2 linked regions of the Callithrix jacchus genome follow. The protein of the gene in region 1 purifies or fractionates together with the protein of each later gene. This does not show direct contact. Links are inferred from orthologs where the notes say so. Each region holds a gene or a part of one and is shown in the gene's direction. Other genes may lie near its edges. The genes, in order: AP2A1 and RALBP1.

What was found.
Region 2: the proteins of AP2A1 (region 1) and RALBP1 purify together in Homo sapiens (affinity purification with mass spectrometry; 5 studies listed by BioGRID and IntAct, with this or other methods). This does not show direct contact. The link is inferred for Callithrix jacchus from reciprocal best matches to the Homo sapiens genes AP2A1 and RALBP1.

The regions. Positions count from the first base shown.
Region 1 is NC_133523.1:43,536,821-43,541,088, forward strand, and holds the start of AP2A1 (AP-2 complex subunit alpha-1), read left to right. Parts: upstream 1-1,239; 5' UTR 1,240-1,369; coding exon 1,370-1,436; intron 1,437-4,268.
Region 2 is NC_133514.1:53,427,446-53,431,255, reverse strand, and holds part of RALBP1 (ralA-binding protein 1), read left to right. Parts: coding exon 1-238; intron 239-1,057; exon of another isoform or gene 1,058-1,199; intron 1,200-3,810. UniProt on the Homo sapiens protein: Multifunctional protein that functions as a downstream effector of RALA and RALB. As a GTPase-activating protein/GAP can inactivate CDC42 and RAC1 by stimulating their GTPase activity.

The DNA.
Region 1 (4,268 bases):
CACAGGTGACAGAAATGGACTCTTCCAGTTCCCTTTGTCCCAAATTTCTCAATTGCCCTGGGCGTTGGGAGTTCTGGCCGTTTTGCCTTCCCCAAAGCCAGTTTACCAAAGACTCTGGGGAGCTGAGGGTAGGGGATTGAGGCTGGGGTTGGGCCAAAGCAGATTCACCCATGCCTTCCTTTAACAAATGTTGTTGAAACTCTTCAAGACCAGGTCCCATTCTTGCCCAGGAGTTCCTAGTCTGGAAGAGAGAATCAATTTTGGTTTGATATCTGCTACAATGGAGGCTGCCCGAGAGACATTGTGGTTGGACCCAAAAAAAAAGGCAACATATGTTGAAAAATAGTTGAAAGCCAAGATATGGTCTACATTTATTTCTGTTCTTTCACTTCCAAGTTGTGTGGCCCTGGGCAAGTCATTCACCCTCTCGACCTATGATTTAATCTCTGCTTAATGGGACTAGCCGTGAATTACTGTTTTTCACTCTGAGATTCTGGGTCTCCTGACAAAACAAGTCCCGACACGTTGGCTGCAGAGAAGGGGGGAGGGGAGGAAGGCTTCCTCGAAGAGGATTTTAGCAGTCGGGGGTGACAGTGAAGGCAGAAAGGGAACACGGAGACGCTTGCGCAGTAAACACTGAACGCTCTCTTGCCCCGCCCAACTCCTTCTCTGCTGCATGGAATTGCAGGCGTCGCTCCACCTATCCCAGCCGAGCGGAGTGACACCCTCTTCTTTCCTTCTACTGCTCTTCGCCTTCCGCCCGCCCCCCAAAGCCGCCCAATAGAGGGTGGAAGTAGGACAGATCTCACCAATCCGTGACTCCTGCGGGGGAGGTTTACCCGCTCATTGGTCTCGGTCAACCTCAGTCCCGCCTCCCAGGGCCCTTTCCCCGCCTTCCGTCACGTCCCTCCCTCCCTCCTTGGAGACCGGCTAGATCCAATCAGTGTTTGACTTGGCCGCGCGGAAGGGGCGGGTCCATTTTACGCAATCGAACCCCGCCCGTCTCTCGGGCAACGCCTCCTCTTCCCTCCCCGCTCCCGAACGGAAATAGCGGAGCACTGGGCCAATCGCAGCGTCGTGCCTTTGCTTAGCGGCCAATGAGAGAAAAAGTAGGGAATTAAACCCGCGTCTGAGCGGCAGAAGCTCTTACCAATAGGCGGCTGAAAGCTCCGGAAGGCGGGTAGAGGGGAGGGGCAGGTGGGCGGTGCCACGGCCTGCCAGCCCGCCCGCCCGCCCGCCAGTCAGCCCTCCCCGCGGCCGGCTTGGCTCTTCGGCGCTGCCTGGGGTCCATTCCGCCTGGTCCCCGCCTGCCAGCCCCCGCTGCGCTGTGCCCTGTCCGGCCAGGCCTGGAGCCGACACCACTGCCATCATGCCGGCCGTGTCCAAGGGCGATGGGATGCGGGGACTCGCTGTGTTCATCTCCGACATCCGGAACTGTGAGCGCGCGGCCGGGGGACACTGGAGACGCGGGGGAGGGGGGAGCCTTAAATTAAGGGGTTTGGGGGTCACAGAGGGACCCGGGGGATCAAAAGCCTTTGCGGCTGTAGAGGGCGAGTATAGATGGGCCCCGGGAGGAACTTTAAGGTGGGGGTCACGCAGGGGCTTGGGGTGTCATAGAGTGCCTCTTGAGGTGACGACACGGAGTAACTAGAGGGGTCCGGGGGTGCTGGAAAGGGGAGGAGGCCAATGAGGTCCCGGGGATGAGAGCATAGAGGTGTCCCTTGGGAAAGACTGAAAGGCTGGGGGATCGTACAAACGATGGGGTTAGAAGGAGCCCTAACGTAGAGAGGAAGGGAAAGAAGTGCATGGCGCGGGGTGGGGGGAGGGCGGGAGGTACCCTGTGGAGCGATGGAATGGGAGGAAGCCAGAGGGGACCTGTAGGAAGTGGAACGCCCGAAGCCTAATTGAGAAGGCTTGAGGGCCTGGGATGGGGGTGTCATATGGGGGGGTGGTTAGATAGGTCACTGAGGCTCCCGGCCAGTGGTATAGAGGAGGCCTGAGAGTGGTTGAAAGTCCTCGGGTTCAGGGCAGGGAGATGATGGGAGGGCCAGACTATAAGGACACCCTGGTGAGGGATAGTGGGGCTTCAGGATGGGAGATTGCTTAGACATGGAAGGCAGTGTGGAGGGGGCCAGAGGGGCCGCTGAGGGAGAAGGAGGGACCCAAGGAGGGCAGAGGAAAGGAGCTGCAGGTGTAAGGTGTTGGGAAAACCTGTGACAGGGAAGCTGCCCTGGAAAGGAGACGTTATAGAGTGGGGGTTTGGGGGAAGGGCAGAAGAGGGAGCGGAGCGCCTAGACCTCCAGGACGGCATGGGGCCCTGAAGGACTTGAGGGCAGAGATCTGGAAAGCTGGGAATAGGGTAGGTCTAATCCCAGAGAGAGGTCAGGGGTCAGGAAGCAGAATAGGCTAGGATCTGAGCCCTTTTCTATCTGACCACAGTAATATGGGGACAGTGGTCCCTGCCAGGAAGAGTTGTCGTGATGATGGGAAGTCTGGTGACAAGTCAGCTCTCAACTCCTGGGAATGGCTGTTGGTGACTGGAGCTGCCAGGAGTATTCAGAGGCTGTGTCGGAATGGGCTCTGGGGTCAGCCCCGGTTGGGTTTGCGTGGGAGCACCACCAGTCCCTAGCCGAGTGACCTTGAGTGAGGAACTTCACCTCTCGGTTTTCTCATCTGTCAAGAGAGGCTGCTGATTGTATCATCCTGAGGGGCTTGTGGCAGTGCCTGTGAGTCAGGCCTTTCATGCATTCCAGGCCCCAGATGGAACCTGGCTGTTTTGTTACTCCATTGGCTCCCAGCAGCAGCTCTGCCAAGTACCCAATGGCTGCTGTTGTTGTTTTAGAATGTAACTGTTATGGAAAGATCTGGCATGTAGAAGGTGCTCAGTGAACAGGAGGGGGTGGACACGATTGGGTATCCGTTGATGGAGAGATGGTGGGCTGTTACGACAAGGGGCGGAGTGATGGGGGTTGTGGAGTAGCTGGGGGCCCTTGTTAGGAGATGTGCGCTGCTTCTGTTACCCACCAGTGACGGGAGGTCATGTGACCCTCCATGCGTCATTTAACCTCTTTGAGGATGTTTTCTTGTCTACAAACTTCATTCCTAGAGCATCTTGCCTCTGAAGGCTCATTCCTTCATTCAGTCATTTGACAAATACTTTTTGATCGCTCCAGTGTTCTAGGCGCTGGGGTGACAATAGTGAACAGAAACTCCTGTTCTTGCCAGGCGTGGTGGCTCAGGCCTGTAATCCCAGCAGCTTAGGAGGCCAACGCCGGTGGATCACCTGTGGTCAGGAGTTCAAGACCGGCCTGGCCAACCTGGCGAAACTCCGTCTCTACTAAAAATACAAAAATTAGCCAAGTTTGGTGGCGGGCGCTTATAATCCCAGCTATTCGGGAGTCTGAGGCAGGAGAATTGCTTGAACCTGGAAGGCGGAGCTTGCAGTGAGCTGAGATCGCGCCACTGAACTGCAGGCTGAGCAACAAAAGCGAAACTCCGTCTCAAAACAAAACTCCTGGTCTTGGGAGCTCCCTTCCCTGAGGAAGACAGAACATAAGCACAGAGAACACTCTAAGATACAACCTGAGGCCCTGAGTGGTGCTGTGAAGGAAAACAGGGAGGAAATGGGCAGGAGAGGACTAGGATTGGGAGGGTGCTCCGTAAATCTGGAGGAAGCCCTGTAAGTGGAGCAAGCCCTGTGGATTTTGGAGGAAAGGGGTCCTGGCACAGGGAGGTGCATTCAAAGGTCCTGAGGTTGCCGCATGCCTGACGTGTTGGAGTGAGAGGGAGAAGGTCAGTGTGGCTGGAGCTGAGGGAGTGTGGGGGGAGAGGGCAGGAGCAGGGGGGAGGAGGGACAGGATCGGGAAAGGCTTTCTGGGCCATGGTGAGCACTTTGGCCTTTATCTGCCTGAGAATATTTTGAGCAGAGGAGGGACGTGACCGATTGATGTTTTAAAATAAGTCCTCTGGCTGCTGTGAGAACAGATTCTAGAGGTAGCAGTGGAAGCAGGGAACGAAATTAGGAGGGCGTTGCAGGCCTCTGGGCGAGAGAGAGTGCTGGCTTAATGGGGTGAGAAGGGATTGGTGAGAAGTGGGCTGGGGATACTTTTTTTTTTTTGAGAGTCTTTCTCTATCGCCCAGGCTGGAGTGCAGTGGCACGATCATAGCTCACTGCAACCTCCGCCTCCCAGGTTCAAGCAATTCCTCACCCTCCCTAGTAGCTGGGTTTACAGGTGCCTGCCACCACGTCCAGCTATTTTTTGTATTTT
Region 2 (3,810 bases), on another chromosome or scaffold:
GCAGCTGATGTTGTTAAACAGTGGAAGGAAAAGAAGAAAAAGAAAAAGCCAATTCAGGAGCCAGAGGTGCCTCAGATTGATGTTCCAAATCTCAAACCCATTTTTGGAATTCCTTTGGCTGATGCAGTAGAGAGGACCATGATGTATGATGGCATTCGGCTGCCAGCTGTTTTCCGTGAATGTATAGATTACGTAGAGAAGTATGGCATGAAGTGCGAAGGCATCTACAGAGTATCAGGTACTGGGAATGTGCACTTCACTTGGTGATTTTTAATAATTAACTTCACTTTCATTTTTCAAAGGAAGAAAAAAATGTTGTGAGGAAAATTTGGCCTGGATCCTAAGCCTTATTCATTTCCTTGATCCTTCCAATTGCACGAAAATCCACCCTTCTCCCCAGCCTTTCTTTAGTGTTTGAGCAGTTTGGTTTTTTATGATATTCCATTTCGTTAGGAGGATTTCATGTGAGTTGTTCAGAGGTTGCAGCAATCAGGACTAAAACAAAGTGAGGTGTACTGTTAGCATTGCTTAACAGGACTGCATTCAGACCCTACTTTTTTTTTCTTTTGTTTGTTTTTTGAGACAGAGTCTCGCTCTGTTGCCCAGCTGGAGTGCAGTGGCGCAATCTTTGCTCACTGCAGCCTCCGCCTCCCAAGTTCAAGCAATTCTCCTGCCCCCCAAGTTCAAGCAATTCTCCTGCCTCAGCCTCCTGAGTACTGGGATTACAGATGCCTGCCACCATGCCCAGCTGAGTTTTGAATTTTTAGTAGAGATGGGGTTTCACCATGTTGGCCAGGCTGGTCTCAAACTCCTGATCTCAGGTGATCTGCCTTCCTTGGCCTCATAAAGTGCTGGAATTACTCATAATCAGCCACTATGCCTGGATGCCTGCTTTTGTTTTTTTCTTTCCTCTCTAAGCAGAGGCTCAGTGGTATGAGGGTCTTTAGCAAGAGAAGGAAGGTTAACTGTGTGAAGGAAGCTTCTTGGCCAAGAAACCCATTTATGGATATTTCTTTAGCTAAGAGGCATGAAATGGTCTTTGTTTTTGTTTTTGTTTTCTTGGTGCATGGTTCTTGGAGATATCATAATACCTGGTCAATATGTGGAGTGGTCCAAGCAAGCTTCTGTTCCATCTCCCTGCTCCAGAAATCCTAGAACAGATACTATACTTGACTTTAGCCAAAAGACCAAGAAGTAGTAAATGTTTAGCCCCATATGTGAATGCTTTGGTCAGCTACATGCAGCTGTTACATACATTAGCAAAATTGATTTTCTATTAATCTTTATCCCATATGTATACAAATTAAATTTTTTTATACTCGGCAAGAATATGTTTTGATTGGGTATCTAAATCAAGCAATATGTATATTATTTAAAAGTAAAAAGACTTATTTCTTAGAAAGCAGTATGATGTTTATACTGGGATAGGATGAAAGCCCTGACCTGTAGCAGCATCTGTGTTCCAAATTATTAAATTCCCATTATTCAGTTTCTTGGTACATTATCAATTTCTGTTTAGAGATTTATTTTATAAAATTAATTGTTGGCCCAAGCAGGAGAGTCACTTGAGCCCAGGAGTTAGTTTGAGGCTGCAGTGAGCCATGATCGTACTACTGCATTCCAGCCAAGGCAAGAGTCAGACCTTGTCTCAAAAATAATAATACTTGTTGGTCACGTGTATTTTCATGAGGTGTTGTTAAGTCATATATAGAATATATGGAGAGATTAGACTTAGTTTTTTCATTTAATTGGCTCATACACAGTTTGAGAAGGTAGATTTGATACTTTTGTTGAGAAAGAGCAGATAGGTTTGATAATTGGGAAAACTGTTACATAATCCACTAGATTACATGCCATTATTAAGAGTATTTTGGCTAAAATGTTACTGTTTTATAGAACATGAAATAAATTAGGCATTGAATTTAAGTTTATAACTCCTTAGTATTCAATAAATATATTTAAACAAATATTTGATTTTTTTTTTTTTGAGACAGAGTCTTGCTCTGCCGCCAGGCGCCAGGCTGGAGTGCAGTGGTGCAATCTCGGCTCACTGCAACCTCCGCTTCCCGGGTTCAGGCAATTCTCCTGCCTCAGCCTCCTGAGTAGCTGGGACCACAGGTGCGTGCCACCACACCCAGCTAATTTTTGTATTTTTTTTTTAGTAGAGACAGGGTTTCACCATGGTCTCGATCTCTTGACCTCGTGATCTGCCTGCCTCAGCCTCCCAAAGTGCTGGGATTACAAGCATGAGCCACTGCGCCTGGCCCAAATATTTAATTTTTAAGAATAATTTACTGAATTGATTTTTTAACATTTAAACATTAATAACACAAGCTGCCTCTCTCACATGGTCTTAGTAGCCATAAAGTAATTTTGTTTTAGGTAAAAGTTTCTCTGAAAATTTTCTGCAGCTTTGTTCAAAGGATTCTTTTTGTCTCTGGCCTACTTTAAAGTCTGCATTTTTTTAGGAAATTCATAGTCATAGAACTCCTCTTCTCTGTATGTAAAAGCATTCAGACTGAGCTGCTGTCCATCATTGCAATAGCTAGGGGCTGAGCTCCTGCTCCGATGAGTTTTCCATTTATTCTCTAACCTGTGGCAGTTTGCTGTAGTCAGCCTGGCTTGTACTACTCTTCCGGCCAGTGCTAATAATAATACTGCTTTTTGCTGGAGATGTTAGTTCTCACTTAATTCATTTTAAGACCTTTTGCTGGACGTTTTAGTTCTTGATTATCCAATTTTAAACTAATATGAAAGACAATTCAAGTGATTTTACCAATTTTAAGCTAATATGAAAGACAATTCAAGTGATTTTATACATTTCAATTTATTCATCTACATTTTCTTGTATCTTTTGCACTGAAGTGTACCTGTATGCACTTTCTCTCTTTCTGTGGAATGCTTTATTTGGAGTGTCCAATTTTTAAAAGGAAAACATTTTGATAACAGTTTCAGAGTAAGGCAAACCAAACACACATTCCGATTGACTACTTGTACAATTTGTTGGGTAGGTACTATAAGGGGAAGAATTAAATATACATGAGGAAGAGAATAAATCTTTGCCAAGGATTTCGGTTAAAGTTATCACGGTTTACTCATATTATCATAAAAGTAAGAAAATGGGAATTATTTTTGACTTTGCTGTCACAAAATAAAGATTATCTAAAAATAAATTAATAGTGTTATTTTGTATTTTGTTATTTTATTTTGTCAATACTAAATTAGATTTATCATAATGCCACTAAAAGGTTTTCACGAAGGATAAGGAATCCCAAAGTCCAGATGTAAGCACCGTATTCACTGTCAAGTGCTGTTCAGCTTAGATAGCATTTACCGGTAGAAACCGTCAGCCTTAATATGTAGCTTGTTTCAAATAATTGGATGAAAGTGTTAAGTATTAAAAACAACAAAAAACGACTTTGTGTTCTTCTGAGCAATCACTATCACTAAATTACGGCACTTAATGCAGATTGTACTGAAGACTTCAAATCTTATACAATGTTTGAAAATTATTTGCTTGTGTGTTAGAGTTTCCTTTTGTTCAATAAGCAAAACAATTTGATTTTAGAACCCCAAACGTTATTTTTTTGTCCCAGCTCTGTTCAGATTAAAGGTATACTTAAAAAATCCAAACTTTGAAATAGAAATTAGATGTGGATTGTTTAATGGAGAATAATCTTCAAAGAGTTTGTTTGGGTAGCTAACTCACCTTTTGCAGTTACAGTACAATATTTACACATGTACAGTATTTACACATAAAAAGTCATTTACCCACAACTTTTTGGAACATACTTATGTACACCAAGTTGC